Linked DNA regions of Sus scrofa. The protein of the gene in region 7 purifies or fractionates together with the protein of the main gene of each other region. This does not show direct contact. Links are inferred from orthologs where the notes say so. Each region holds a gene or a part of one and is shown on either strand. Other genes may lie near its edges. The genes, in order: POLR2B, MED18, MED31, CDK19, MED16, MED8 and MED9.

Evidence for each region.
Region 1: the proteins of MED9 (region 7) and POLR2B purify together in Homo sapiens (affinity purification with mass spectrometry; 4 studies listed by BioGRID and IntAct, with this or other methods). This does not show direct contact. The link is inferred for Sus scrofa from reciprocal best matches to the Homo sapiens genes MED9 and POLR2B.
Region 2: the proteins of MED9 (region 7) and MED18 purify together in Homo sapiens (affinity purification with mass spectrometry; 6 studies listed by BioGRID and IntAct, counting the BioPlex papers as one, with this or other methods). This does not show direct contact. The link is inferred for Sus scrofa from reciprocal best matches to the Homo sapiens genes MED9 and MED18.
Region 3: the proteins of MED9 (region 7) and MED31 purify together in Homo sapiens (affinity purification with mass spectrometry; 4 studies listed by BioGRID and IntAct, with this or other methods). This does not show direct contact. The link is inferred for Sus scrofa from reciprocal best matches to the Homo sapiens genes MED9 and MED31.
Region 4: the proteins of MED9 (region 7) and CDK19 purify together in Homo sapiens (affinity purification with mass spectrometry; 7 studies listed by BioGRID and IntAct, counting the BioPlex papers as one, with this or other methods). This does not show direct contact. The link is inferred for Sus scrofa from reciprocal best matches to the Homo sapiens genes MED9 and CDK19.
Region 5: the proteins of MED9 (region 7) and MED16 purify together in Homo sapiens (affinity purification with mass spectrometry; 5 studies listed by BioGRID and IntAct, with this or other methods). This does not show direct contact. The link is inferred for Sus scrofa from reciprocal best matches to the Homo sapiens genes MED9 and MED16.
Region 6: the proteins of MED9 (region 7) and MED8 purify together in Homo sapiens (affinity purification with mass spectrometry; 5 studies listed by BioGRID and IntAct, with this or other methods). This does not show direct contact. The link is inferred for Sus scrofa from reciprocal best matches to the Homo sapiens genes MED9 and MED8.

The regions. Positions count from the first base shown.
Region 1 is NC_010450.4:56,260,230-56,263,729, forward strand, and holds part of POLR2B (DNA-directed RNA polymerase II subunit RPB2), read left to right. Parts: intron 1-2,822; coding exon 2,823-2,977; intron 2,978-3,500. UniProt on the Homo sapiens protein: Catalytic core component of RNA polymerase II (Pol II), a DNA-dependent RNA polymerase which synthesizes mRNA precursors and many functional non-coding RNAs using the four ribonucleoside triphosphates as substrates.
Region 2 is NC_010448.4:85,382,592-85,386,884, forward strand, and holds the start of MED18 (mediator of RNA polymerase II transcription subunit 18), read left to right. Parts: upstream 1-1,493; 5' UTR 1,494-1,694; intron 1,695-2,255; 5' UTR 2,256-2,324; coding exon 2,325-2,397; intron 2,398-4,293. UniProt on the Homo sapiens protein: Component of the Mediator complex, a coactivator involved in the regulated transcription of nearly all RNA polymerase II-dependent genes.
Region 3 is NC_010454.4:50,727,303-50,731,480, forward strand, and holds the start of MED31 (mediator of RNA polymerase II transcription subunit 31), read left to right. Parts: upstream 1-1,378; 5' UTR 1,379-1,654; coding exon 1,655-1,682; intron 1,683-1,906; exon of another isoform or gene 1,907-1,970; intron 1,971-2,538; coding exon 2,539-2,616; intron 2,617-3,370; coding exon 3,371-3,467; intron 3,468-4,178. Other genes in the region: C12H17orf100 (uncharacterized protein C17orf100 homolog), read right to left, coding at 812-1,183. UniProt on the Homo sapiens protein: Component of the Mediator complex, a coactivator involved in the regulated transcription of nearly all RNA polymerase II-dependent genes.
Region 4 is NC_010443.5:76,790,677-76,794,760, reverse strand, and holds the start of CDK19 (cyclin-dependent kinase 19), read left to right. Parts: upstream 1-1,284; 5' UTR 1,285-1,600; coding exon 1,601-1,728; intron 1,729-4,084.
Region 5 is NC_010444.4:77,489,778-77,493,752, forward strand, and holds the start of MED16 (mediator of RNA polymerase II transcription subunit 16), read left to right. Parts: upstream 1-1,175; 5' UTR 1,176-1,319; intron 1,320-2,704; 5' UTR 2,705-2,749; coding exon 2,750-2,882; intron 2,883-3,441; coding exon 3,442-3,549; intron 3,550-3,807; coding exon 3,808-3,975. UniProt on the Homo sapiens protein: Component of the Mediator complex, a coactivator involved in the regulated transcription of nearly all RNA polymerase II-dependent genes.
Region 6 is NC_010448.4:167,859,993-167,864,162, forward strand, and holds the start of MED8 (mediator of RNA polymerase II transcription subunit 8), read left to right. Parts: upstream 1-1,370; 5' UTR 1,371-1,401; coding exon 1,402-1,479; exon of another isoform or gene 1,480-1,541; coding exon of another isoform or gene 1,542-1,547; intron 1,548-3,028; coding exon 3,029-3,147; intron 3,148-4,170. Other genes in the region: protein SZT2, read right to left, coding at 1,199-1,225. UniProt on the Homo sapiens protein: Component of the Mediator complex, a coactivator involved in the regulated transcription of nearly all RNA polymerase II-dependent genes.
Region 7 is NC_010454.4:60,931,200-60,935,263, reverse strand, and holds the start of MED9 (mediator of RNA polymerase II transcription subunit 9), read left to right. Parts: upstream 1-1,264; 5' UTR 1,265-1,365; coding exon 1,366-1,586; intron 1,587-4,064.

The DNA.
Region 1 (3,500 bases), on a different chromosome or scaffold from region 7:
GGAGCATTGTGTATATTTTTCAGGAGTCTCCTACTTTTTCTTTACCTTCCTATTTTCTGATAACCAGAGGTCACCATGTTACCCATTTCTGACTTTCGCCTCAGTTTGGACCTATCAGGCTCCTGTCATCAGTCCTTCAAGAAGACCTATTTTCTTTGGTATTCTTTTTTTTTTTTTTTTTTTTTTAATTTATTTATTTATTTATTTTTTTGTCTTTTTTTGTTGTTGTGTTGTTGCTATTTCTTGGGCCGCTCCCACGGCATATGGAGGTTCCCAGGCTAGGGGTCGAATCGGAGCTGTAGCCACCGGCCTACGCCAGAGCCACAGCAATGCAGGATCCAAGCCGCGTCTGCAACCTACACCAGAGCTCACGGCAACGCCGGATCGTTAACCCACTGAGCAAGGACAGGGGCCGAACCCGCAACCTCATGGTTCCTAGTCGGATTCGTTAACCACTGCGCCACGACGGGAACTCCTCTTTGGTATTCTTGAAGGACTGATGATACTGTTTGGCCTTTGAGGAGACACAGCTCAATTTATGTCCTCCTATTAAGGCAATAGAGCTGTATTCCACTAGCTATGTTCTAATAGAATATTGTATATTCTATTAGAAATTCTTTAAAGGTTCAAAGCAGACGTTTGAGATTGCCGCACATGGTGTTTTTGCTCACTGTGTTTCATCTCGATTGTTTTCTAAGGACAGGAAATGGGCTGAGAAATGTGGAACATTTTCTGTATCTTGGCTTTTGGTTTTTTGCTTTGGGACAGCTTGATGTTTTTGATCAAACTTTTATGATTTACTATTGGTTTTATTTTTTATTTTTCTTGTCTTTTTGCCTTTTCACGCAGCATATGGTAATTCCCAGGCTAGGGGTCTAATTGGAGCCATAGCCACCGGCCTACGCCAGAGCCACAGCAACGTGGGATCTGAGCCGAGTCTGTGACCTGCACCACAGCTCGCAGCAATGCCATATCCTTAACCCACTGAGCAAGGCCAGGGATCCAACCTGCAACCTCATGGTTCCCAGTCGGATTTGTTAACCACTGCACCACGATGAGAACTCCAATTTACTATTGGTTTTATACTGAGTAATCCAAACCTTTTCTAGTTAAATAGACCCAATCCTTTCTTTAATAAAGGTATCCAGATGTGATTTCCCTTTTTTAAAAGTACTTTTTAGAGAAATACCAATCTGTTTTTCTATTTCTCAACTCATTGGCAGTTACTTTCTTGGTTGGCTTTTTAAGAATATATTTTAGATCTAGATAATTCACAGGAAATTATTTGTTTACTTCTTGACATATCTTATATGTATTGGCACTTCATTTTTTGTAGTGCTTTAAATAATTGATTATGTTCTTAATTGTACATTCCCCCCAGTTTTTTTTTTTTTTTTTGCTATGCCCACAGCATGCAGAAGTTCCTGGGCTAGGGATTGAACTTGCATCATAGCAGCAACCAGAGTCACATCAGTAGCAGTGCTAGAGCCCTAAACTGCTGAGCCACTAGGGAACACTATCTGAAAATTCTTTTGATACTTTCTAGCACTGTCCAGTAGAAATATAATGTGAATTAAATATGTAATTACAGTTTTTAATAGTCATATTTTAAAAGTTTAAAAAATATGAAAATAATTTAAATATACTTTATTTGACCCAGTACATCAAAAATATTACAATTTCAGAAGTTCCCGTTGTGGCTCAGTGGTTAGCAAATCCGACTAGGAACCATGAGGTTGAGGGTTCGATCCCTGGCCTAGCTCAGTGGGTTAAGGATCCAGCATTGCTGTGAGCTGTGGTGTAGGTCACAGACGCGGCTCAGATCCCATGTTGCTGTGGCTCTGGAGTAGGCCAGCAGCTAAAGCTCTGATTAGACCCCTAGCCTTGCAACCTCCATATGCCATGGGAGCAGCCCTAGAAATGGCAAAAAGACAGAAAAAAAAAAAAAAAAAGAATTACAGTTTCAGAGTTTCTTGGTGGCCTAGTGGTTAAGGATTTGGTGTTAATGCTGTGGCTTGGGTCACTGCTGTGGTTCCATTTTGATCCCTGGCTCAGGAACTTCCGCATGCCATGCATGTGGCCGAAAGAATTTTATACTTTTGGAGTTCCCGTCATGGCTTGGTGGAAACAAATCCAACTAGGAACCATGAGGTTGCAGGTTCAATCCCTGGCCTTGCTCAGTGGGTTAAGGATCTGGCCTTGCTGTGAGCTGTGGTGTAGGCTGCAGACATGGCTTGGATTCTCCATTGCTGTGGCTGTAGTGTAGGCCAGTGGCTATAGCTCTGATTCGACCCCTAACCTGGAAACCTCCATATGCTGCAGGTGTGGCTGTCAAAAGGCAAAAAAAAAAAAAAATTTTTACAATTTCAACATATGATCAGTGGAAAATTCTTTTTTTTTTTTTTTGCTTCTTAGGGCAACACCTATAGGTGATTTTGAGAAGCCAGGCTTATTACCTGGAAAGACTGATGGGGGCACAGTGATACAGGGCAGGTTATTGAAAGGCTACAAGGTGAAGTATATGTAATTATCAAAGAGGCAAGATAAGAAATTGTCCTATGCTAGTGTTTGTGATATCAGTTATATTTTCTTCACTTTTATTTTGCATGACATTATAACCAGATGTTACTCATCTCTTTGATTACCAAGGTGTTAGATATTCATCTCACATGAAATTTTAAATTATACAAAGGTTTTTAGTATCTGAACAATGATAAATCAAGATTTGTTCATTTTATATGCTAATTTATTCATCTTTTTGTATTATTAGCTAAGCCTTAATGATAAAAAGTTCATGGGTATTTTTTTCCTTTTACTTATAGGTTTCTATGATCAGAGATATTCGTGAGAGAGAGATTCGGATCTATACAGATGCAGGTCGCATTTGTAGGCCACTTCTCATTGTGGAGAAACAAAAGCTACTTTTGAAGAAGAGACATATTGATCAGTTGAAAGAGAGAGAATATAACAATTACAGGTAAGAACATTCAGTTAGAAGAAAACTTGAGATGTAATTCACATGCCATAAAATTAACCATTTTAAAGTATGTGTTTTGGTAGTTTTTAGTATATTCACAAGATGGTGCAGTTACCACTATTTAATTTCAGAATATTTTCATTCACCTAAAAGGAAACCCTGTATTCATTGGTGATCATATTGTTTTTCTTTTTCTTTTTTGTCTTTTGTCATTTTTTAGGGCCACACACACAACATATGGAGGTTCCCAGGCTGGGGGTTGAATCAGAGCTGCAGCTGCTGCCTACACCACAGCCACAGCAACGTGGGATCTGAGCCGAGTCTGTGACCTACACCACAGCTCATGGCAACGCCGGATCATCAACCCACTGAGCAAGGCCAGGGATCGAACCTGCAACCTCATGGTTCCTAGTTGGATTCGTTTCCATTGTGCCATGACGGAAACTCCTACTCTTTGTTTTTATATATTCACTCCCTTAGCCCCTGAGGTGGTTTCTTTAGAGCAGAGCAGAGCATAATAAAC
Region 2 (4,293 bases), on a different chromosome or scaffold from region 7:
ACCTGCAACCTCATGGTTCCTAGTCGGATTCGTTCCTGCTGCTCCATAGTGGGAACTCTGAGGCCTCACATTCTTATAACATTTTCTCCATCCCTATAAATCATGAGTCTTGTCCAAGTTTTACCATATTGTTCACCCAATTCTTACCTATTCTTTTTTTTTTAATTTAATCCTACTTTTGAAATGTCAGATAAAATGTGGGTAATATTTTTTTTAAGTTTAAAAATGTAAATGAGTAAGACAGTATAAATTACAGCAGGGGAAACTGGAATTATAAATGACTGTATAGGAGTTCCCATCATGGCTCAGCAGAAATGAATCTAACTAGTACCCATGAGGATGCAGGTTCCATCCCCAGCCCCAGTCAGTGAGTTAAGGATCCAACATTGCCATGAACTGTGGTGTAGTTGCAGACTTGGCTTCGATCTGGCACAGCTGTGGCTGTAGCGTAGGCCAGGGGCTACAGCTCCGATTCAACCCTGGCCTGGGAACTTCTATATGCCTTGCTCGGTGAGTTGGGGGTCCAGGATTGCCATGAGCTGTGGTGTAGGTCACAGATGCGGCTCAGATCGCACATTGCTGTGGCTGTGGCATAGGTCAGCACCTGAAGCTCTGATTCAACCCCTAACCTGGGAACTTTCATATGCCAGGGTGCAGCCCTAAAAAGAAAAAAAAAAAAAAGATGTGTAGCAATTAAGAGGGTGGGTTCTGAAATCAGGCAGCTGCTTAAATTTGTACCCCAGTCTAAACTCCCTGGTGTGTTATTTCTTGATGCCTAAGTTTCTCCATTAGTAAAATTAAGTAATAATTATACTTGGGTTACAGGGCTGCTGTGAAGATCAAAAATTCCAATATTTTGTTCATTAAGGATTTTTTTTCCACATTAAATTCGTAAAAGATTGCATTACAATTTTTTGAATTGTTAGGAGTTTTGGTGCCCCTTAAATTTTTCGCTCCAGGGAGTGCCTCAACCACCATACTCTAGCTCCATTCTTTGCATTTTACATGCTTGACACACAAGCAACATTCAATAAATGAGCTGAATTTACTTATCTCCCAAAATTTTTGAATTGAGGTAAAATAAACACAGAAGAGTGAACAAATATCAAATGTATTGCTGAGTTCCCTAATTGTTCAGAACAGTCTGCTAAACAGTAAAAGATGTCTTTCCTTCTTATCTTCAGGTACTCAACCAAAAGAAGTTTTGGTTTTATGATCTCTTTTTTTCTTCAGCTCTCTTCCCCCGGCTCTCTTTTCCCCCTGTAAGTTCCAAAAGAATTCCTTGACAAAAACAACTCCAGGCCGTCACACTTGAAAAAAGGAAAATATTTTCCGGGAGGACTGCCTTTGATGTCAAGGTCCCCCTCACGCCCCGAGGAACGCGCTCAGGAAGGCCGCCCTCTTCCACGCAGAATCGCAGTTTGCGCATGCGCTTCTACTTGCCAGGCCGCAGAGATGATTTTTATGCCTTCCCGGCACCCTTACGTCGCAGAATGGTGATGTCAAGATTTGCGCGACGGAGACTTTTTGCCGGAAGTGGAGGGGAGAAAGTGTTGCACTCCACCGGGGGGTGGGGGTCTTCAAGTTCAGTGCTGGGGGCTAATTATCGCTAAAAAGCTCCGAGGTGCTCTGGTGGCTTCAGTTCCCTGCTTTGCCAGAAAAGGCTAGAACACGCGCGGAGGTGTGTTTTTGGTGTGAGTAGGCACGCGTCGATGGTGGGGTAGGAGGACCTCAATCGTCAGAAGAACTTCGCACTTCTGTCTGGCTCGCTTTCAAAGGCGTTTTGAACGCCTAGATTTTTGTCTGGTTTATCTCTGCCATGGACTTGCTCTGTATCCTTCCCTCCAACCCCCACCCAAAGTGTCAGTATCCTCATCTCCAAATTGAAGGGGAGTCACCTCTCAGTTCTATTATTTCACGGCTATTGTGTCATCTGAGCCACAAAGCCTTGGGGGTTAAATGTCGACCTCATTTTATAAGGAAGACATTGAATCCCAGGGTCAGCGGTTTGATGGCTTATTGCACAGGAAATTCTGAAACTGAAGGTTTCAGACCTTGAGACTGAAAGATTATAACTCCATGATCAGGCCTCCTTTGTGTATTTCTGTATCATCAATTCCTGAAACTGACTTATGGAAGTTGTTCAAAAAGTTCTGGATGAATGAATGAATCTTTTGATGTTAAGGCTAATGACCCAGGTAGATCTGGTGTCTCTCCATCTCTCTGATGTATTAACAAGCATAACTCTTTTCCAGGTGTGTCCTGTGCTTTATTTGACTGGGACTCTGAATCCGGTTCTGTTGCTTTCAACTTAAACAGATAGCATGGAGGCACCTCCAGTCACTATGATGCCTGTCACCGGGGGCACCATTAACATGATGGAGTACCTGCTGCAGGGTAAGTGAACTAGGGAGCTTAGATTACCTGATTTCCTCTTTTCTGTTCAGGTTCCATGGAGATGAAAGGCTAATATACAAAGGCTACATAATTTCTGGCACCTCTTTTTTTTTTTTTTTTCAATTTGGCTTTAATTATGGTCACAAACATATAGCATTAAACATTTTGAGCATAACATTTAGTAGTGTTAAATATGTTTGCATTGTTGTATAGCCAATCTCTAGAACTTTTTCATCTTGCAAAACTGAAACTCTGTACTCATTCTTCCTTTCCCCTCCCCCCAGCCCTTGGCAACAACTTTTCTACTTTCTTTTTTTTTTTTTCTTTTTTTATTTTCTTTTCTGCTGAACCTACGGCATATAGAAGTTCCCAGGCCAGGGATCGAACCCACACCACAGGAGCAGCTCTGGCAGCTACAATGACAACACAGGATGAGTAACCCACTGCACCACAGGAGAATTCCAAACCTTTCTACTTTCTGTTTCTAATTTTGACTACGTTAGATAACTTTATATGAGTGGAATCATATGGTATCTGTCTTTTTATGACTGGTTTATTTCACTTAGTATAATGTCCTCAGCGTTTACCCGTGTTATCACACGAGACAGGATCTCCTTTCTAAAGGCTGAATAATGTTCTATAGTATGTATATACCACATTTTCTTTATCTGTTCTTCTGTTGTTGGACATTCAGGTTGCTTCCACCTCTTGGTTAACATGGATAATGCAGTGAACATGTGTATGCAAATATCTCTTCCAAGATCCTGCTTTGAATTCTTTTGGTTAAATATCCAGAAGTGAAATTAATGGATCATATGATAATTTTATGATACTATTATTAATTCTTGTAGATCAGGAAATAGAATTGAAGTAACTTGCCCAGATGAGAAAGCTCAAAACTCAGTGTAATGATTTTCAGGAGGCCTTATAATGTTTCGCAAAAAAGTTTAGACTTTGAATTATCCATTTAAGAACTTAATATGGAAGTTCCCGTCATGGTGCAGTGGTTAATGAATCCGACTAGGAACCATGAGGTTGCAGGTTCGATCCCTGGCCTTGCTCAGCGGGTTAAGGATCTGGCGTCACCATGAGCTGTGGTGTAGGTTGCAGACACGGCTTGGATCCCACCGTTGCTGTGGCTCTGGCGTAGGCCGGCGGCTACAGCTCCTAGATTAGACCCCTAGCCTGGGAACTTCCATATGCTGGGGAGAGGCCCTAGAAAAGACAAAAAAAAAAAAAAAACTTAATATGAACGAAGTAGGGTTATTAACTTTCATTCTTCCAGCTGTCCCTCCTTCAGTCTTTTCCATCTTAGTAAGTGCCTGTCATTCACCAGTTGCTCAAGCTATGAATTCAGGAATCAATCTCCATTTTTTCACTTTATTCTCACCTATAGCTTATCTCTAGTTCTGTTTATTTTACTTCCAAAATATATATTAAATATGTCTTTTCTCCACATGCAATGGCTTGGTTTATCATCCTTTGAACTATTTTAGTAATTTTGTGCTTATTGCATTGCTTCCACTTTTGATCATCTGTCTCTTCTCACACAATAGTTCAACATCTTTTTTTGGGGGGAGGCAGTTTTTTAGGATCCTTAACCCACTGAGCGAGGCCAGGGATCGAACCCGCAACCTCATGCTTCCTAGTCAGATTCGTTAACCACTGCGCCACAACGGGAACTCCAGTTCAACATCTTTTTTAAAAAATGTTTTATTATTAAAAAATTCAGGGAGTTCCCGTCGTGGCGCAGTGGTTAACGAATCCGACTAGGAACCATGAGGTTGCGGGTTCGGTCCCTGCCCTTGCTCAGTGGGTTAACGATCCGCGTTGCCGTGAGCTGTGGTGTAGGTTGCAGACGCGGCTCGGATCCCGCGTTGCTGTGGCTCTGGCATA
Region 3 (4,178 bases), about 10 Mb from region 7:
GTGCTCAATATGCAGGCTCCCTCCCCTGCATCTCCTCAAATCACAGGTCAGGTTTGCCTTCTAGAATTATTCTTTTTTTTTTTTTTTTTTTAATTTTCCCACTGTACAGCAAGGGGGTCAGGATATCCTTACATGTATACATTGCAATTACAGTTTTTTCCCCCATAAAATTATTCTTGATTGTTGATGGTTGACCTTCATTTTCCATTTTGAACTGCACTTGACCTATGTTAAAACATGTGTGGCTGGGGGGCGGGGGGGGGTACCATGCACAAGGGCTCAGCATAAAGAAAAGAACTGCGTGCTTTGAAATATAAACATAGGCCAACTAATTAAGGAATTAACTAATTAAGGAAAGTCTGATCCCTGCCCCCCAGGTTTTCAGCGGGCACATAATCAATCCACTGGTCATGATTTCTGCTTGCTCCCTGTCCTTAAATTTGAAGCAGCAAAGGTCATTCAGGGCTTAAGGACCCCCACACTCACCTGTCTGAGAGGTTCAAAGAGCCTCTTTGTCCATCGACTCAATTCATACAGTATCCGGGGCCCGGAACTTTTTGTGCTGGTTTCAAGTTAAAACAGTTCACAGGGTCAAAGGCAGGATAGTCCAAGGTGCAGCTGGGTCAGTGAATGTTGGCTGAGTCCTGAAACCACAGCTTGGCTCTTTCTTACATTGATTTGTGGATTGTGGACTGTTTCCAGGAAACCAAAGGGAATCGGTCCACCTGGCAGCAGGCCGGCTGCGAACTGGAGGCAGATCTGCACTGGCCACGGGCCATGGCCCTGTCGTGGCCCTGGAGAAGGAAGCATCTCATGGGGCCTTTTGGACATTCTGGCGGCCTGCCGGCTGCTCCTGCCGCGGCGGGCTCTCTACGCGGTGCAGAGTCGTCTCCACCCGCAGGCACGAGGCCCTGACGCGGCGGGAGGCTGTTTCCGTGCGCTGCCAGGTTTCCACGTGCTGGGACACCTCGACGACGCGAGGGAGCCGTTTCCCAGAGGGGGAGACGGAGGGCCCCTCGCTGCAGTGCTGGGTGGTCTCCACCCGCCGGGAGGACGTCTGCACCTGGCGGGAGGATGTCTCCACGCGGTGGGACGAGGTCTCTACGCGTACCGTCGACGTCTCCTCGTAGCGGGCGGCCGCCGCCCGGGGCCGCGAGGGCTTTCCCCGAAGGGGTGAGGCCATTCCACGGGGGTAACGGACCGAGCGGGCCTCGGGAGGCCTTACCGCCTCACGCTCCCCGACGGGTTACGTCACAGGGTGACGAGTGACGTCACATGCCTGTGTGACGCAGGTACAGCGCTAGACGAGGGTGCCACGACACAGGGACTTGGGGACAAGGTTTCCTTGAGGGGTGGGGAGGGACGTGAAAACTCCTTGGCAACTCTGGGCCGGGCCCCTCAGGCGCTCGGTCAGCGGGCGCACCGCCCCCTCGTCTGTCAGGAGCTCCCGCGAGCGGAGGAGGGGCTGGGCTGGGCTGGGCCGGGGCGGGCGGGCGGATGGGCGGAGCCACCCGCCCCCGCGCGAGGCTGATCCCGCCCTCGCGTCCCACACTGCCCCGCGGCAGGAAGAGGGAGCGGCGGCTTCCGGCACGTCCCCCGCGGCTCCGGGCGTTTGCTGTGCTGGGCTGCTTGTGGGTTAGCGTCTTTGCTCGTGATGGCCGCCGCCGTCGCTATGGAGACAGGTGAGTCGCGCTCGGAGCCACGCGTCTTCGCAAGTAGAACTATCCTGGGCCCAAACCCCCGCTCCTGCTCCCCCGCGTTCTCCTTTCAGGCCTGACTTCTTTCAGGCAGAGTGAGTTCGGACCGGGAGGGCCGCGGACTTTTCTAGTGTCGGAAGGGTGAAGGTAGTTTGGCCTTTTCAGAGTTTAATTTGTTGGCCAACACTTTTTCTTTCATTGCTCTTCAGACACCGGCACCACTGGCTTCCGGCGAGAACGAGAAAGAGAATTTCAATTTTAAACCAATCTTCGGTTTGTTTTCTGCGTCTCAAACGAGCTTGCATAAGTTAAAACATCGTCGACACATTTGTGTTATTATACTACCAACGACGCTTCTCACCTAAGCACACGCTTCTTGATCTTGTGTACTCGCCGTAGCCTCTGTCAGCTTGCATTCTGAACTTTTTCTTGGTGGCTTTAGCATTCACTTTGTTTTTGTTTACTAACTTTATCACCTAGCTACTTGTAATGCATTATTAAAATTAAGGCACAGTTACCCTAATCTATCCCAGTGATCACTGTTAAATTTCTTACATGGTAGCTCACGGGTCATAAACATTCTGACCTGTGTGTTCTTGCTTTCTTTGATGACTTGTCTTTAAGTTTAGAGAAACGTCTTACTCCTTTTAATCAGGGCTTTGCTTTCCTTAGACTTCTAAGAAAGGTTTTTCTCCTCCCACGCCCAGTTTAGGAAAATATCACATGCCCTTCTTTATGAAGAAGTGTATTTCAGCATTAGGTTTATTACTGATGTTTTCTTTCTACAAATCAGTATTCAGTGACGTTTATTTTGGATGATTTTTGATATCTTCTCTCCTAGATGATGCTGGGAATCGACTTCGGTTTCAATTGGAGTTGGAATTTGTGCAGTGTTTAGCCAACCCAAATTACCTTAATTGTAAGTTGAGCAGTACCCCGTTGAATTGAGTAAATATTGATGATTTCTGACCGAAGAGTTGCAATTCATAGTACTGTTGGCCCTTGGTATCCACAGTTCAACTGCAGTTGGTTGAATCCTCAGATACAGAAGGTGACAGTACTGTCACTGTCATCGCACTATACCATTTTATATAAGGGACTTGAGCATCTGTGGATTTTGGTAATCTGTGGAGTCTCCTGGAACCAATCCCCTGCAGAGTCCCTGGGATGACTTTATCTACTTTTATACATTCTCAAGTGAATGGAATTATTGCTACACTTTTACTGCTATATATTATCATTGAGCAGACTGGGACTTGTGTTTTGAATTCAGTGTCTTTTTTTTTTTGTTTTTTGGTCTTTTTGCCATTTTCTTGGGCCGCTCACATGGCATATGGAGGTTCTCAGGCTAGGGGTCGAATCGGAGCTGTAGCCGCCTGGCCTACGCCACAGCCAATGCAACTCGGGATCCGAGCCGTGTCTGCGACCCACACCACAGGTCTCGGCAACGCCAAATCCTTAACCCACTGTGCGAGGCCAGGGATCGGACCGGAAACCTCATGGTTCTTAGTCGGATTCGTTAACCACTGAGCCATGATGGGAACTCCCTGAATTCAGTGTTTTTTAGTGGTGGGGATGTTATGTTAAGTTTACTTTATGTATGTCAGGAGTCAGAAATAAGTAGTCCAAGGATGGTTTGCTCTACAGATTTTTTTTTTTTTTGTGCCTTTCAGTTCTTGCCCAAAGAGGTTACTTCAAAGACAAAGCTTTTGTTAATTATCTTAAGTACTTGCTTTACTGGAAAGAGCCAGAATATGCCAAGTATCTAAAGTAAGTTTAATTTTCATAGTCCTAAATATATGTGTACTTTATTACAAAGACTGATATTTAATTAGATGTCTTAGTTTCACATTTGAAAAAAAATTTTTTTGCCTCTTTGTGCTCCTTTTAGTTTCCACCAGTTTAATATGAAACACTTGTTTCTAAATTAACTTGGATTATTGCAGTAATCTCACTGGTATCCCTACCCCACCCCCACCCCCACCCCCACCCCCACCCCCACCCTTCCACTTGAAATAATTTCACCTAAAAACAACTGGAAATAATAGAATTTCTGTATATTCTAACCAACAGACCTCATTCACATTTTGCCAGCTGTCTCACCAATATCCTGTGTCTGGTGTAGTATCCAGTCTAGGCTCAGATGCTGCATTTTGTTGTCATGTCTTCTTAGTCTCCATTAATATGAGTTTTAAGTCTTCTTTTTTTTTTCCCCTCCATAAGTGACACAGAAATGATGTTATATCCTTCTTGGTATGTCAGGAGTCACAGGCAGTCACTTCATTCTATGACTGGTGATATTAATTTTGATCACTTGGTTGAGGTGGTGGCTGTTATTTTTATCCATATCAAGTACTATTTTTCCTTTTGTATTTAATATGTATCTTGTGAGGAAATACTTTGAGTCTGTAGGAATTTCTTGTTTCATATTTCATTCTTTTACCCACTAACTTTAGCATTTACTGAAGATACTTACTTGCT
Region 4 (4,084 bases), on a different chromosome or scaffold from region 7:
GAAAAGACCAATTTTAGCTGGTTATCTGCAGCACTTACCATAGTACCTGGAAATAACAGACACTCAGATACTTCACGATTTACTTCAAGATCTGAGGAAATTTTCCAGGAAACTTACTGTTGTAATAAATAAATGAACCCCCTCCCCATCCAGTTTTCCAAGTTTCTTCCAAAACCTAGCAGGCAAGTCACTCTTAACTTTCCTTACCACATTAGGTAGAATTGACTATTTCCTCCTCTTGTGCTTTCACTGAATGTGGTATGTTAAGTCCTATCATAGCACCAATGATTTTTAAGATTGTATCCCAAGCATCTGATACGTTTTAGGCACGCAATAATGAACCAACATTCACCTTAAGGAGATTTAAACATTCTAGGAAAACGTCACTGTTAGGCATAAACCTTAAGACACTCTTTACAATCCAATACAAATGATTGTTTTTAAATTGCTGCATCCTGCAGGCACTTTAATAGTCCTCAGACAGTTGGCCAAAAGCTTGGCTACGGGAATCACTTATGTTAGGAGAAGACTACGACTAGAGCGCCAAGGATGATTGGCTGCTAGGACCTTTAAGTTACAGGTTTTCAGGCCGACGCCGACGGTAGAACCAGGAAACCGCTAAAAGTTCAGTTTTTGAAATACGGTTTTTGCACCGCAAAGAAAAAAGATTAACCTATCAGAAAGAACCTAGCACATCCAATTACCAATCAAGAGCCGGAAAGAAGCCAAAGCAGGGATACCCACGCACCAACGAGGACGTCATTCTTAAGTCTCCGCCAATGAGCTGTTGGATGCGGGACGGGGCGGGAGGCGGACCAACTGCCACCAAAAACAAACAACAATCTGCAGTACAACTGCTCTCACCACAGTCCTCGTCTAGCAAACCACTGGAGGAAACTCGTGGGCAAAGCCCTTGTTAAATACTTTCCACTCTCCTCCTCTCCTGGGGGCAGTTATAATAGAGTACCTTCCTTACACCAGAAAAAGGACCTTCTTTCCACCAGCTTCCACAGACTCGCAGAAAGCACACTGCAAGTTTGCACTTTCTACCTTCACAGGAACTAGCAGTCCAAAGCTACCTGAGGGGGGAGGGGCGGCCTCAGTGCGCAAGCGTGCATGTCTTGTAGAGGCGGGGCTGTAGCGGCCCAAGGTAACCTGGGTATTGTATTTCATTCTACCGCATCACTCAACTGTTCCTGAGGTTTATGGAACTACATTTCCCAGGAGTCTCCGCGGCCTCGGGGGCGGGAGGGATGGTTCGTTAATGAGCTCGAGGAAGCCGCGGCGCGGCCCACCAGGTTCCAAAACAAGGAAATGAAGGGGGAGGCGGGACTGAGGGTGCCTGTAGGAGCCGCAGCCGCCGCCGCTGCCGCCGCCGCCGCCGCCGCCGCAGAGGAGGAGGAGGTGGAGGAGGTGGCCGCCGTGGCCGCCGAGGAGTCCCTTGCTGAAGGCGGACTGCCGGGCGGCGGGCGGCGCGCGCGCGCCCCAGAGGCGGTTGTTGGAGAAGTGGAGCGGCGGTCGCGGGGGGGAGGAGGAGGAGGAGGAGGGACTGAGTGGCGGCGGCCCCCGCGTCCCGGTGCCTCTATGGGGAAAGCAGACAATGGATTATGATTTCAAGGCGAAGCTGGCGGCGGAGCGGGAGCGGGTGGAGGATTTGTTTGAGTACGAAGGGTGCAAAGTGGGACGCGGCACCTACGGGCACGTCTACAAGGCGAGGCGAAAAGATGGGTAAGAGCAGGGGCGGGGGGAGTAGGCTCGTTCGGGTCCTCGCCCTGCCCGCGACCGCGCGGGATGGGTGGGTCGGAGCCCGGACGGGCCAAGCCCGGGGGGCGAGGCGGACGTGGTCCCGGGGCCGCGTCCCGAGGCGGACTCTGAGGGACACGGGTTCTGCCCGCTCGCGCGGGCCCCGTCGCGCCCCTCAAACTCCTGCGGCGCAGCCCCGTCGCGGGGTGTCGGTTTCGTCCCGGAGGGCACCCTCCGCGTGCATGGAACTGGCGGCGGGACTCGAGTTGGGACCTCGGTTGGATGTGGAGTTTGTGGGGCTTTGGTCTCCGGGGGAGACGCAGAGGTCTGGGAGAGCCTTGCGGAGGAGTTGCCGCTCTGGCCCTCGGTTGGTGACGGTCGTGGTGGAACTTCCAATCGGCTGAGCGCCTCCCGGGGGCGGAGGTTTGAAACCTCGCCGAGGTCTCCGTCGGGCTGCCGAGTGCCTGGGTCCTCGCCAGCCTCACGGGTCTGAGCCGTTGGGCACCTTTTCCCTGGGGGCGAGCCAGCGCTCTGGCCCCTCCGCGCAGTCCCTTCAGTCCCTGTGGAAAACCCGGCCACTTCTCCACCTCGCTTCGCCCACCTCCGATCTTGCTTTCTCACATTCTCCATTCCGCACCTTCCCTTGAATGTAGACCTTCTGAGAGACCAACCAGGTTTTGCCCGCAGAACTTAAGAGTTCGGTGTGGTAACCCATCCCATCCTCCAGCAGCCTCCCCTTGGGTATTCTTAGGTTCTCCACTCCATCCTCTGCCAAGTGGCTGCGTGCTGCGGTTTATTGGGCACCTAGATTACCCATAACGGAATTCAAGTGGCACGGAGTTGGGCCAGAACCCTTGTTTTCCTTGGACTTGAAAGAAAATCATAGGAAGCCCGTCCTGATTGTTCTCTTAGGAGGGCACAGGGCTCTCCAGTACAGGTGGAACCAGCTCCCTGCCTGAGAAGGGTAGGTTTAAACAAGTCATCACCGCAGGGCCCATCCTGGCAGAAATTCCACTTCCCCAGAGTTAGGGAGCCGGGGAACATCTGCCTGTCCCACTTAGTGTTTGAAGACGATCAAAGTGTGGAAGAGAGGTTTTAGGATCATAGCGAAAAATTGCTGAATGAACAGAGTATCCGTCACCGTGACGTTAGTTAAGATCTGAAGTGCTGCTTATCGTTCTTCCACACTCTGTTGTAATTGATAAGGTTGATTGATGAACTCTAGGACCAAAGTAGGTAGGGGATGTGTACGTGTGTGCACTAATTTTATACAGGGAACGAGAAAGCACAACTTTATAAACTGGTTTATCATAAAGTATGGTGAAAACTGCAAAGTACTTAACATTGTAAAGGGTTGTTATTATTGCATATAATTTTTTCCTCTTGTTATAACTGAACGGGTCCCCTAGAATTCAGTTGTTTGTAAACCTTTCTCATGATTCTTTTAGTTAATTGCCATATGTCCCTGCTTGAGTATCTTGGAATGTGAAGTACTATAATTAAGTTGTATTTTGTTTTTGGAATATCCACTCTCCTTGTTATACTGGTGTCTCTCTGGGAATCTTATCAGATACATTTGGGGAAAGCACATCTAGCTTTACTATTTGGACGTTGACACTGTAAAACAAATCAGAAGTGTTCTTCATCCTCCTCACACTAACTTTGTAATGTACTTGGCCTGGAATTTTAAAAAAATGTACTTTAATTTTGTTGTTAAAATAGCTTTTTTTTAAGGCAGCTTTTGAGAAAAGTTAAAAATTCTACTTATGAATTGTATTTGAATAGCATGAGCTACAACAAAAATCAGATAATTTAAATCCTGCTTCTCTTTGTTCTTTTTGAATATTTTCCCCTCTAATAAAATTCTTGATTTGAATACACTTTTTTTCCTTGAGTGAAATTTGTTTGATTAGAATTAATAAAGCCCTAGTAAAGATCAGTTTGGATATCTTCAAAATATTATGCTTTAAAAAGACTTTTTCAAATCTGAAAGCATTACTTTTTTTTGGCTGTGCTCCTGGCATGTGGAAATTCCTGGGTCAGGGATGGAACCTGTGCCACAGTTTCAACCTGCACCACAGCTGGATCTGGTAACACGGAATCCTTAACCCACTGTGCCACAAGGGACCTTCCTGAAAGCATTACTTTAAATCACTAAATTATGTGTGAGAAAAATCAGTGTAAAGATTTTTGTCTTGAACCAAGAGTTTAGTTGAGATTTGAGGCTTTAAACACCCACATGTCTTGTGGGTGGGTAGCAGGATTAGTTTTATGTTCATTGATACCATTGATTTGAAAGAACAGAAATCTTTTAGTGATGGCTCTAAATTGTGATACACAT
Region 5 (3,975 bases), on a different chromosome or scaffold from region 7:
AATCCTGCAGGTGACATTTGTCTCTTTCCCCCTGTGTATTTATTTATTTAACTGTTTATATCAGTACAGACGCCTGGACATTCGCTTTCTTGTTTGGGTTACAACACAATATCCTTTCATTTTGTTGCTCAGATTGTTCCAGGTTTGGATACTGGGAGCTCTTTCAGTGATTCCTGTCTCACTGAGGCGGGGTATTTATTTATTTGAGCACCGGGCTCCTCTGCATATTTGTGCTGCCTTCTAGAACCAGGCATTTCGCCCAGGAGCCCAGTTCCTTTCACTGGGGCAACGTTTAGAAACCAAGAACTGGGTGCTAAGTGTGCTGAGTTCCATTTTAACAGGCATTTTAAAAAGTTTTAAACACAGATGCTAAATAATGGAAATCCAAATGGCTCAGAGGACATCAGGAGATACTGGATTAACCAGCTTGGAGGCTCCCACCTGTGAAGGGGACCGAATTTCTGGTGCCTGGAGGCCAGTCTGGACTTCAGGGCGCGGGTGTGGTGGCTCTAGGGGACTCCACAGGCCTCCTGCACTGACACACAGACTCGGTCCTGCGGCTGCCCCTAGCTGGCTGTTTTCTTCCCACTCCGATTCCCTGAGCCCGGCCCCCATACCTTTGCCCAGGCGCTAACTGCAGCCCAGTACACCTTCCCCGAAATATCAGGAGGTCTTCCTAGAAAAGACTTTCCCAACTGGGGAGAGCCCGACAGAAAAAGAACCAGCTTTTGATAGCGGGAGACGAGTGAATCCAGAGAAGCCCACGACTGGTTAAGCCGTCTTGCTTACGGGGAAAAGAAGCAAGGAAAAGCAAAATATGGAACGCTTCACGAATTTGCGTGTCATCCTTGCGCAGGGGCCATGCTAATCTTCTCTGTATCGTTCCAATTTTAGTATATGTGCTGCCGAAGCGAGCACGACACCGGGGTTAACCCGACCGCTATTTATAGGGCGGAGTATAAAATACTTTACGCTAAGGGTGAATTCCGTTTAGAAGAAAAATACTCAGTAACTTGTCTCTTCTTTTCTGATATCAGTGCAACAATAGCTTAACAGAATGAGGCTACTCACTGAAGTTGAGAAAGTGTTCTTTCACGAAATATAATTCGGGTGGCTGTTGGGAAACTATCAATGTATGTATGCAAATTATATCGGTAGTGGGGCGGGGCCGGAGCCGCTGCTGTCCCAGAAGTCTCCGGGAAACGGCCGCGCTACGTGGGCGACTCGTTGATCCGGGGAAGATGGCGGTGCCGTAGCCGCGCCGATAGGTGGAGTGCAGGCCGTGGCCGTCCGCTCGGCTGGGAGAACAGGCCGTCCCGGTGAGCGGGGACTGGGGACTTGGGCGTTGGGCCGGCCTCAGGACGGTGCCTACGGCCGCGGCGGCGACTAGCGGGCCGGGGGCGGGGCCTGTAGGGTTAGAGGGCGGGCCTGGAGAGCAAGGGGTGCTGGGTACGCGCCCGGGAGCACGTTGGGCGGGGGGGGGGGGTCGCGACGGAAACTTGGGGGAAAGTCTGAGGCGTCTGGGAATCCGGGCACTCCGAGCTGGGGAAAATCGGGGCTGGGCCTGGAACCTGATCAGGGGTTGGGAGGTCTAAGGCTGTATTTTCCTGGGGAGGGGCCTGGGGATTCTGGTGGGCTGGAAGGCGGCCACTGGAGACCAGCACCTGGCTATTGGGTAGTGGTCCCTGGGGTGGAGCCTGAAGTGGCAAAAAGAGGCGGGACTTGGAGGGTTGGGAATTTGGAGGTGGTTATAGGGAGGCGAGTTGTTTGGGAGACCCTGGGGAGAGAACAAATTTAAGCTATCCCTGGGAACACAAGGGGCAAATTGGGACTGGGGTCTGGAAAGCAAATATTGTAGGGGGCGGGGCTGGAGAGCTTTGAGGGCAGAGCTTAAAGACTGCTGAAGGGGCCTCTGGGCAGGGCCTTGGGGTTCCTGGCCAAGGCTTGAGGAAGCGGGAGGCCTGGGGGAAGTGATTGAGAAAGATGGGTTGGTCATACAGTCTCATTGGGTTCTGGTAACGGTGAAAATAACCGTAATCAATGCCCGGCACATAGACAGCAGGTGGAAATGTTCATTGTTTCCGTTGCGGTTGTTACCTTTGAAGTGCTGCACCAAGCTGCTGCCTGCCCCCCATCCTGCCTCCTTGCCTCTGCCAAAGGCTTCTCTAAGGATAGAGCAGTCCCACCTCTCCTCACTGCTTCATGGTCCCCATCATTGTTCACCTGGACTGGCATGGTCACCCCCACCCTGTCCCTAAGCCTTTCTCTCCAGACAGCCAGAGGGGTGTGTGAAACATAAGAAGGTCTCAGCTCCCCTGGGGCTCCCACCTCACTCAGGGTGAAAGCGCAGGCCCTGCATGACCCACCCCACCCTCACTTTACCCCTCCCTTCCTCTCACTCAGTTCCAGCAACATGGGCCCCCTGCCGCTCCTTGATGACCCTGGGCTTGGTCCAGCTTCTGGGCCTTTGCACTGGCTGTTCCCCCTGCCTGGGATATCCTTCCTCCAGGCTGCATTCCTGGATCCCTCACTTCTACGCTGGGAGGCCTCCCTGGCCATCCATGTGTCAGATATAGCTCCCCTGACATACACAGAGCAGGGATTGAGTCTTTGGGTCCCTGCAGTGACCCACCATCCAGCACTGCGCTCTGGGCCCTGAGGCCCTGCATGAACGTCTGTGACAAACTGGTCCTCCCTCCCTCAGAAGCTGGTGACCGCCCTCTGTGTATGACCTTGGCAGCCGGGCACCATGGACCTGGCGTACGTCTGTGAGTGGGAGAAATGGCCCAAGAGCACGCACTGCCCTTCGGTGCCCCTGGCCTGTGCCTGGTCCTGCCGCAACCTCATCGCCTTTACCACGGATCTCCGAAACGACGACCAGGGTGCGCCCCCTCCTGCCCCCCGCATGGGCTCGTGCCCCAGTGCCCATGGACCTCCAGGCCTGTCCAGTCTCTCAGGGTTCCCTCATGTGTGATGAGGGGTGGTGAGGGCCCAGAGGGCACCTGGCACCAGGGGGCACTGGAATCACCCCCAGGGGATGGACCTGTCCAGATGAGGGTGGTCCCCAGCCCCTGCTGAGGCTCCTGCCTGAGTTTTCCAGACCTTATATGTCACTGCTTGGCTTCTGAAAGCCTCTGAGCTGCAGCCTGCCTGCTGGGCCTGTGTTCTCGCTATTGTTGAATGACACATGCTCCTAGAGGAAAGGAGAAAAACACAGACATTTTGGATGAGGGGAAGAAAAAAAGGCATTACCTTCCCCAGAGAGCCACTCTCTGTTAGCATTTTGGGTTTGTTTTTTTCCAGTTCCATTTTCTATGTCTCTTTTGAAAGTGGTTGTAGCCTCTCTGGAGGCAGAGTCATGGACCTGCTCCCATTACCCCTGGGGTCATCAGGCACTCGAGGCCCTGCCATTGTTGCCGCTGACCTGGCCCTCCTTTGCAGACCTGACCCGCATGATCCACATCCTGGATACGGAGCACCCCTGGGACGTGCACTCCATCAACTCGGAGCACAGCGAGGCCATCACCTGCCTCGAGTGGGACCAGTCAGGTGAGGGTGGGGCTCACCCTTGATCTCAAATCCCAAGCTTACTTGTTCTGTCTTTTCCTGGTCATGTCCCCACTGTCCAGAACTAGGATGAAAGCCCTGGCCTTGTGGCTTTTCGGCTCCTTCTCCTCCCATTTTTGGTGACCAGAGTCGTTCCTGGGAGACATGTGTGCCATGCCCCTGCTTGTCTCCCATCCCAGGCCCCAGATGTACTGGGGGGGGTGCTTTGTGACACAGGCTTGCCCCCCTCTTCCCCTGCAGGCTCCCGGCTGCTGTCGGCCGATGCTGATGGGCAGATCAAGTGCTGGACCATGGCAGACCACCTGGCCAACAGCTGGGAGAGCCCAGTGGGCAGCCTGGTGGAGGGGGACCCCATCGTGGCCTTGTCCTGGCTGCACAATGGTGTGAAGCTGGCCCTGCACGTGGAAA
Region 6 (4,170 bases), on a different chromosome or scaffold from region 7:
CATTGATTCTTTTAAATAGGGTAGTTTCCTACAACCACGTTTAATCCTGGGTCTTGTTACATCACATGCCAAGGATCAGGAGATTTACCATCCTGTGGCAACTGTACTGCTTATACTGGAAACATTATGACCACCATACTACAGCAGACCACCTGTTTGGGAGTCTTAGCTCCGCTACTTAACTAGCTGTGTAACTTTGTTACCCTTAACATTTTGTGCCTCCGTCTCCTCAACTGAAAAATGGGGATAAATAATCACGTCTGCTTCTTCGGGTTGAGGGTATCAACTGATGGGGTAAAGCAGGACGACGCGGCACGCATTCGATATGTTATGACAACTCTTTTGTGTCATTTCATTTCACACGTCTCTCACCCTTCCCGTCTATCATATTCTAATACTGGGCACCTTTCCTGGTGATGTTCTTTTCAAACCAGATCTTCTAACTTCAAAACTTTGCTACTCCCTGGCTGAGGGTAGCACTTGGGTAAGGTACTTAACGTCTCTCACTTTCCAGTGTCTTACATATAAATGAAAGTGGACACAGCCACCTTCCTTGCACAAGTCTGAATAACACAATGCAGATCAAGTTCCTTGCATGGTCCTCAACAACTAAGGGATACCTCATGTGCATTTTCTGGTTTAAAATATGGGATCCTCACAAAACACCCTAAGACAGGTGTTTAAGAAGCAGGAAACAGTCAAGCCTTGCCCGAAGTTGCAGAGATGGCTACAGGGCAGCACCAAACGAAGTGAACGACGTTTCACTCCGAATCAAAAAAGAATCTATATATGTATTTTCCCCACGAAACCGAAGCTGCCTTTCAAAATCATGGCGCTGGAACTAAATTAATTCATGCTGATTATGTCATTCTAATACGTGAAGATATGAAGCACCAGCAAAGTAAAATCAAATTGCAAAATCAAAATAAAGGCTTTGTTAATACCATTAGGAAGTCGGAGAACCCGAGGGCCCCAGAGTTGGCGACGTGAATGAAATCTGAGCAAACAGAACAGAGCGACGAGCTTCTCCTCCAGCCCCCCAAGGAAAGTGCGGACCGCGGGGTGAGGAGATGCAACTGCCGGGCCTTCGGGGCGACCCCCGCCGCCCCCAGACCCGGAGGAGGCCACGGCCGCACCCGGCCGCCGGCCCCTCCCCCGCGGATCTCGGGGACCAGCGCTGCGCCCGCCCGCCCCTCACCTCCGGCTCCGGGCGCTCCGAGGCCATCACACAGCCCTCCCGCGCCGGCCCGGGCCAGAGAAGCCCTTCTGCTCGTGACCCCTGACCCGGCTGCCTCTCGCCCGAAGGAACCGGAAACGAATGGGAGGATCGAATCCCAACTTTCTGATTGGCTGACTTGGAAACCGGAAAAGGAAGTGGTTGACGCAACCTCTGCTCCCGCGATGCAGGTGAGGACCGGGTTGGCGCTCGTGACCGCTACTCAGCGTCGGGGTACCGGGACGGAGAGTGGGCTGGAGAAAGTGAGGAGCTGGAGCTGAGAGGAGTGGGTAGAGTCATCGGCCGACGGCTAAAGGGACGCGGGATGGAGGCGAGGCCCACTGGAGAGGGAGCGGCACTGATGACAGATGGGGGTGGAGCCCGGCTGGGAGACCGAGACGGCCCCTGAGTTGGGAGGGGGAAGGCGGCACCGACTTGCTGGGGGTGGGAAAGGGTCGGTCGTTTGGGAAGGTTAAGATGCAGTCCAACGAAGACAGCTCAAGAAGGTGCCGCATTGGCTCAGGTCCCGGCCCGGGCTGTTGAATGGCCGCTGTTGGCTGCCGACACAGCAGAGGATCGATAACTGGAGAGAAGCCCGAGAGTGGAAGGAATTGTGGGGCCGCAGTGACAAAAGCCAAACTAATATAGTCTGAGGCCAGTGGCTGGAACCCGGAATCAAGGCTACTGTCTTGTATATTGGCGAGTTCGCAAGGCAGTTCTACCTCCTTCCTAGCCTGTGCCCTGTGGTAGTTAAGGATGAAATGAAGTAAAGATGAAGAACCAAGATGGACAGGAAATGCTTGGCAGACAACCCCTCACCAGCATTTAAAATAGTTTAGTACTTAGGGGCATGTGCATTTTTGTTTTTGTTTTTCATTTGTCAGTTTCTTGCACCTGGTAGTCTGTCAGTAAATTTTTATAGCTTGACTAAGCTTGTGAAAGGGGCACAGGAATTTTGGCACAGAGATAAAATGAGTGCAGGTTAATGGAGTTCCTGTCGTGGCTCAGTGGTTAACGAATCCAACTAGGAACCATGAGATTGCGAGTTCGATTCCTGGCCTCGCTCAGTGGGTTAAGGATCCGGCGTTGCCATGAGCTGTGGTGTAGGTTGCAGATGAGTCTCGGATCTGGCGTTGCTGTGGCTCTGGCGCAGGCCAGTGGCTACAGCTCCTATTAGACCCCTAGCCTGGGAACCTCCATATGCCACAGGAGCAGCCCTAGAAAAGGCAAAAAGACCAAAAAAAAAAAAAAAAAAAAAAAAGAGTGCCGGTTAATTCAGCAAAGAGCTTGAAACAGCAAATGCTGAGGACAGAGGAAAGGGGGAAATGGCCGTGGTGGTGGCAGTGGCAGGTGTTCAAAGGAACCTTCACATGTAGGTAGATTTTTCAGAAATTGTGTCATTGGCAGGAACAGCCAGGCTCCCAAGGCAGGTTTAGGACAGCAGAAGTCAGAGTACCTATGCTGCAGAGTGGCACAAGAGATAATGACCCCGAGGCATTAGGTCTGCTGTGTCTGCTCAGTGAGTGAGAGTATAGTGTATGTGATAGGAAACCAAGCACGGATTAGGGGTGATGAGAGAAAGGAACCAGCAGGTAGGAGGAATTAGGCCAGGCGAGTGGGTTGAAAGGTCTGAGGGTTGGTGCTGTCTATAACCCTGATACCAAAGATAGAAAACAGCCTGGCTCTCCCTGTGCCAGTGAGATCCTGTGTCACATGACTGGTGTTGCGCACTGTCATCCTGGCTTTTCAGCCCGCCTCTGTGGGCACCACCCTCACCCTCATCTGAGTAACATCCTATTCCTGTTGGTGCAGAGGGAGGAGAAGCAGCTTGAGGCATCATTAGATGCACTCCTGAGTCAAGTGGCTGATCTGAAGAACTCACTGGGGAGTTTCATTTACAAGTTGGAGAACGAGTATGACCGGCTGACCTGGTAAGCAATGCCAGGGCAAGCTGGGGAGGGCTCCATGGGTGGGGGGGGCCAGGTCACCAGGTGGATAGGACATTGCCAGTGATGTAAACATTTATCAGTTTGCAAACATCTTTTGATTTAAAAAGAGCTGAGTTTCCCAACGTGTAACACTGAAGTTGGCTTTGGGCCTCCCTGGTAAGGAAGCAGAGAAATGCCCAGTTTTCCAACTCAGGGTCTTTCTAGCTTTTGATTCTCACCCTCTGATGTCTCTGGGAGGAGGTCCTCCCACTTCAGTATTCATATGGGATCTCTTGCCTTGGACGTGGCTGAGTCTTTTAGGTCCAGTCTACTTTGAAAATGTAGATCCTATATTTAGGTCGGAAAGGAGGCTTTTAGCTAGTTTCTGAAGTTTGAGTGATAACAGTGGAGCTATGGTTCCTGTTTTGCCGCTGTTCTCACCCCAGTCAAATACAGCAGCCCCCCTTTATTGGTGGGGGATAAGTTTTAAGACCCCCACTGGGTGCCTCAAACTGATAGTATCAAACCCTGTACTGCATATACTACTAACTGGATGGGTATTGTACCAGCAAAGATAGGCTGGGCAAAGCAATGATTAACATCCCAGCTGGGACAGAGCAGGATGAAGCCAGAATCCATCACACTACTCAGAACAGTGCCCAATTTAAAATTATAAATGGAGTTCCCGTCGTGGCGCAGTGGATAACGAATCCGACTAGGAACCATGAGGTTGTGGGTTCGGTCCCTGCCCTTGCTCCGTGGGTTAACGATCCGGCGTTGCCGTGAGCTGTGGTGTAGGTTGCAGACGCGGCTCAGATCCCGAGTTGCTGTGGCTCTGGTGATGGCCGGTGGCTACAGCTCCGATTGGACCCCTAGCCTGGGAAGCTCCATATGCCGCGGGAGCGGCCCAAAGAAATAGCAAAAAGACAAAAATAAAATAAAATAAAATTATAAACTGTTTACCTCTGGAATTTGCCATATGGTATTTTTGGACTGTGGTTGACCACAGGTAGATGGAACCTCAGC
Region 7 (4,064 bases):
ACTCTGCTCTGTCCCCTGTATCTATTTGATGCAGAGTAGCTGTGGTCATTCCTCTTACCGGTACAGCCTCCGTACCTCCCCAGAGGACTCCAGGCACGGAAGCCCCTTCAGTGCCTCTGGTCCTCCTTCCGGTTCTCCACCAGGACCCTGGCACTTCCTTTGGGCGGAGAGGCCCCTGGGCAGCAGTCCTCACCTCCCCCTCCATGCGCTCCCTCAGGGGTTCTCTGGGTAGTTCTTACAAGAAAGCAGTGTTGAGGCCCAAAGCACCCACTCCAAGCCTCCCCAGGACTTGCCTTCACAGACCCCTCTGGATGCATCTAGAAATATTTGCAGTGACGTTTTCCTTAGGACGGCCGCCTTGCTCTTCAATGCTGCTTCTCATCTTGGCACCTGACTGCAGTCTCCTTGTGTCTCTAAAGCTCTGAGGAAGGGCAGGGCTTCCACTCACCAGCGAAGCTCAGAACGTGTGTTCTCATCGCCCAGGAATTTATTACACAGCCAGGGAGGACTTGTCTTGAGGAGCATAACCACAAACCCACCAGAGTTCCCCTGGCTTTGGCCTGAGATCCCAGGGAGTGAGTGCCCCTGCAAACGCGAGCTTGGAGGCCGGCCACGTGTGGGAAGGTGGGAAGCAGTTTAGGCTCCTGAACTATATAAGGCTTTTGGGGTGAGGACGCTGAGCCCTGGAGGCTTAAGGAGCTGGGGCCCACAGGTGAGGAGAGTACGTGCCGCTGACTTCTCCTAGGACATGTTTATTCCTGGCACTAACCCCCTTCAGCCTCGTGTGGAAGTTGGGACAACTCCCACCCCTCCCCGCAGGCAGTACAGCAGTCATGGAGAAGATGCATATTAAGTATTGACTTAGTTCGTCGCAGCTTCTTTGTTCCTGCGTCCTTAGGGCGGGCGCAGGGCCTCTCCCCTGAAGGCCTCTGCGCGGGTGGGAACCGTGGGTCCCTCCGCCGGGATTCTCTCCACGCCCGCTGGCCCAGGGCCTGACCCCAGCAGGTGCTGGGCAGGGGCCTCCGCTCTTCAAGAGGCCTTATTTATCTCAAGTCTTCCGCACTTGTTGATTTTGGATCCTCTTTGTAACGCGAATAGGAATAAAATGTTATTTCTGACATATATCTATTTCTATTAACAATTTAGCTGCCTCAACGCACAACCCAAAGCAGGGCACCCTAGCCCGGCCGGCCGCCCGTTGCCTAGTAACGGACGCCCAGGCCCCGCCCCGCGTCCCCGGGCGCGCGCTCCCAGCCTCCCTCTGGGTCCCGCCCCGCGGCGCACGGTGGTGACGTGCAGAGTCCGCGACGCGTTCGGCGCGCTGAGCCGCGGCCCAGCCGACCCGCCGCGGAAACGCGGGGCGCCATGGCTTCAGTGGGGGTGCCCGCCGGCCGGCAGGCCGAGGATGCCCTGCCGCCGCCAACCGAGCCGCCGATGCCCGAAACGAAACCGCTGCCGACGCCGCAGCTGCCGACGCCGGTCTCCGCGCCGCAGCCGCAGCCCGCGCCGAGGCCTCCGTCCCCGGCCGTCGTGAAGGCGGAGGAGAACTGCTCCTTCCTCCCGCTGGTTCACAACGTCATCAAGTGGTAAGAGCCCGGGGTGCCCGCGAGTGCGCCCCCGCTGTCCGTCGCGGGCCGAGCTCCGGGGCGCCGCCGGTCCCGGGGAGGCGGCCTCGCGAAGACCACCGCGAGCCTCCCCCCGAGTTGAGCGGACGCTGAGCTCAGGGCTGCCAGGCCCCGTGCTGGCCGGGCGGAGTCCTCGAAACGAAGCCGACCTGGACACCACGTGCACAGGTGCAGCGTCCCTGTGGCCGGAGCCAGCCAGGCTTCTCGGGGCTGTTTTCTCACACGTAATGAAGGACAGAACGCTCGCTTCGGTGTCTTTTCCAGCAGATGTGGGTCATGTTTCGCGGGTGGCACACTGCTAAGCGCCAGGGGATGTACACTTGAAAGGGCATACGGTTCACGCCCACGTTGCTCACCAGTTAGAAGGAACAGAGTCGTGAACGGGAATAACCCATAACGCGAAGAGATTCTAGGGGTGATGATAAGGCCATGGCAGGGAATGGCCGCTAGACAGCCCGTCGCACTCACAGTTCCCAACAGGATGCCGCAGGGGTGATGTCTCCTTTAGGCCGGTCTTCAGGGGACCCGGTTTTTCAGACTGACCCTTAAAGAGGGGGGAAAACCCCACCAAAATCGCCAGGGTCCCCACATTTGCCCAAATGGTTTTTACTGTTATTTATGTCCCCATGGTAACAAGGTGTAAACCCCTCAGCTTATCACGTCTGTTTAGCCATTAAAACCCAAAACAAAGCAAATTAAAACAATGTTCCTTCTGCTCTAACACTCAGGTGGACCTCAGCATCCTCTTGGATGTTTTGCTGAAATGAAATTGCCGCTCACAACAGTGAAGTGTTGTCAGTGGCCCAGCTTGTTTTGAGTTTAGGTGGAAGAGAGTCACTGCCTGGGACGCTCTGACGCTTCCACCACTTTTCAGACAACTGCAAAGCCTTTTTTTTTCTCACATTAGAACTTGGCTTCGTTTGGTGTGAACATACTGTTTATCTGGTGAGGCCGACTCTTCTCGTGAGCCTGTGATCAGCAAGTAGCACTCGTAGGCAGCAGTGACATAGGAAACCCAACCCACCTGCACGCCCTGCAGTCCCAGGGCGGTGCTGGGTTGGAAGGGCGTTGTCCAGATGAACCCAGATTTATCTGTTCTGGTTTTTGGAAAATTAAAACACACAGTGTACACACTCTGGCATCCTGATAGGACCCTCGGGTTGGGCTGGCCTTAAAGACGGATCCTTGAGGTGCACTAGAGAGAGCATGGGCTGCGAGGTGAGATGGTCTCTCTCTCTTTTTTTTTTTTCTTTTTAGGGCCACACCCGTGGCATATGGAGGTTCCCAGGCTAGGTGTCCAATCGGAGTTACAGCCGCCGGCCTACACCACAGCCACAGCAACTCAGGATCTGCGCCGCATCTGTAACCTACACCGCAGCTCACGGCACAGATCCTTAACCCACTGAGCGAGGCCAGTGGGTTTCTCGTCGGATTCGTTTCCGCTGTGCCACGGTGGGAACTCCGAGATGAGATAGTCTTAATGCTTGCTTGCCTTGTAATCTTGGTAAATACAGAGCCTTTCTAGGCCGTAATTTTTCGTGTCGCTAAGAGGTGAATAATAGCAATGAACCTCAGAGGAGGGCTTCCGAGGTAGCTTTGTAGTGTGCTGGTGGGGCGGCCTCGGTCAAACGGCCTCTCTGAATCTTTTTCTCTCGTGAACCGGGAGCAATAACACCGAAATCGTAAGGTTGTTGTGGGGTGTTCTCAAGAACATTCTGTGAAAGACATTGTGTCCGTCCCGTGTGTGACCTGCTCTGTCCCCTCTGAGTGGACAGTGAGGAGTGTCTTTTAAGCGTAAAACTGAAAAGGACACGAGAGGGGATGATTGCCGTAGGGGGGGGCCGGGGGCTAGTCCACCTCCCAGCCCGAGGAAGCGGCCGGGAGCAGCTGCCTCTGGCCGCGGCCCCTTCCGGATCTCAGGAGGCGGCAGGGCCAAGGGCCTCCGGTGAGAGGTGATTGAGGGTGACGGGACTGAGGATGGGAGGGCTGCTTGGACGGCTGTTTAGGAGCGGATCCCCTGAGTCCTCTCGAGACCCCAGGCCCACAGGTGGTCCCCCTTCTGTCTCGGTGGATAATTAAAGGCTCACACTTTCCCAAGGTTTGTTTTTAGGAAAGAATAATGCACAGGGTCTCTGGAGGGGGGACACTTGCCCATTTCGGGAGCTGGAGGGAGAGGCCAACCTAAGAAGAGCGCTTGAGAGCAAGTCCTCAGACAGACCCGAGACCCAGCCCCGGCTTCTAGATTGACAGGCTGTCTGACCTGACACCCCAGAGACGTGGGGGCTCCCCAGGAAAGAAGCTGGTTCATCCTGAGAAGGCGGTACATCACTCACGCAGTGTCCGCTCAGCCTTTTCACTTAAAAAAAATATATGTTCCCCAGTATTTATTTATGGCCTGCTTTTTACTAATGGAGCATAAAGTAATTGTATCTTCTCTCG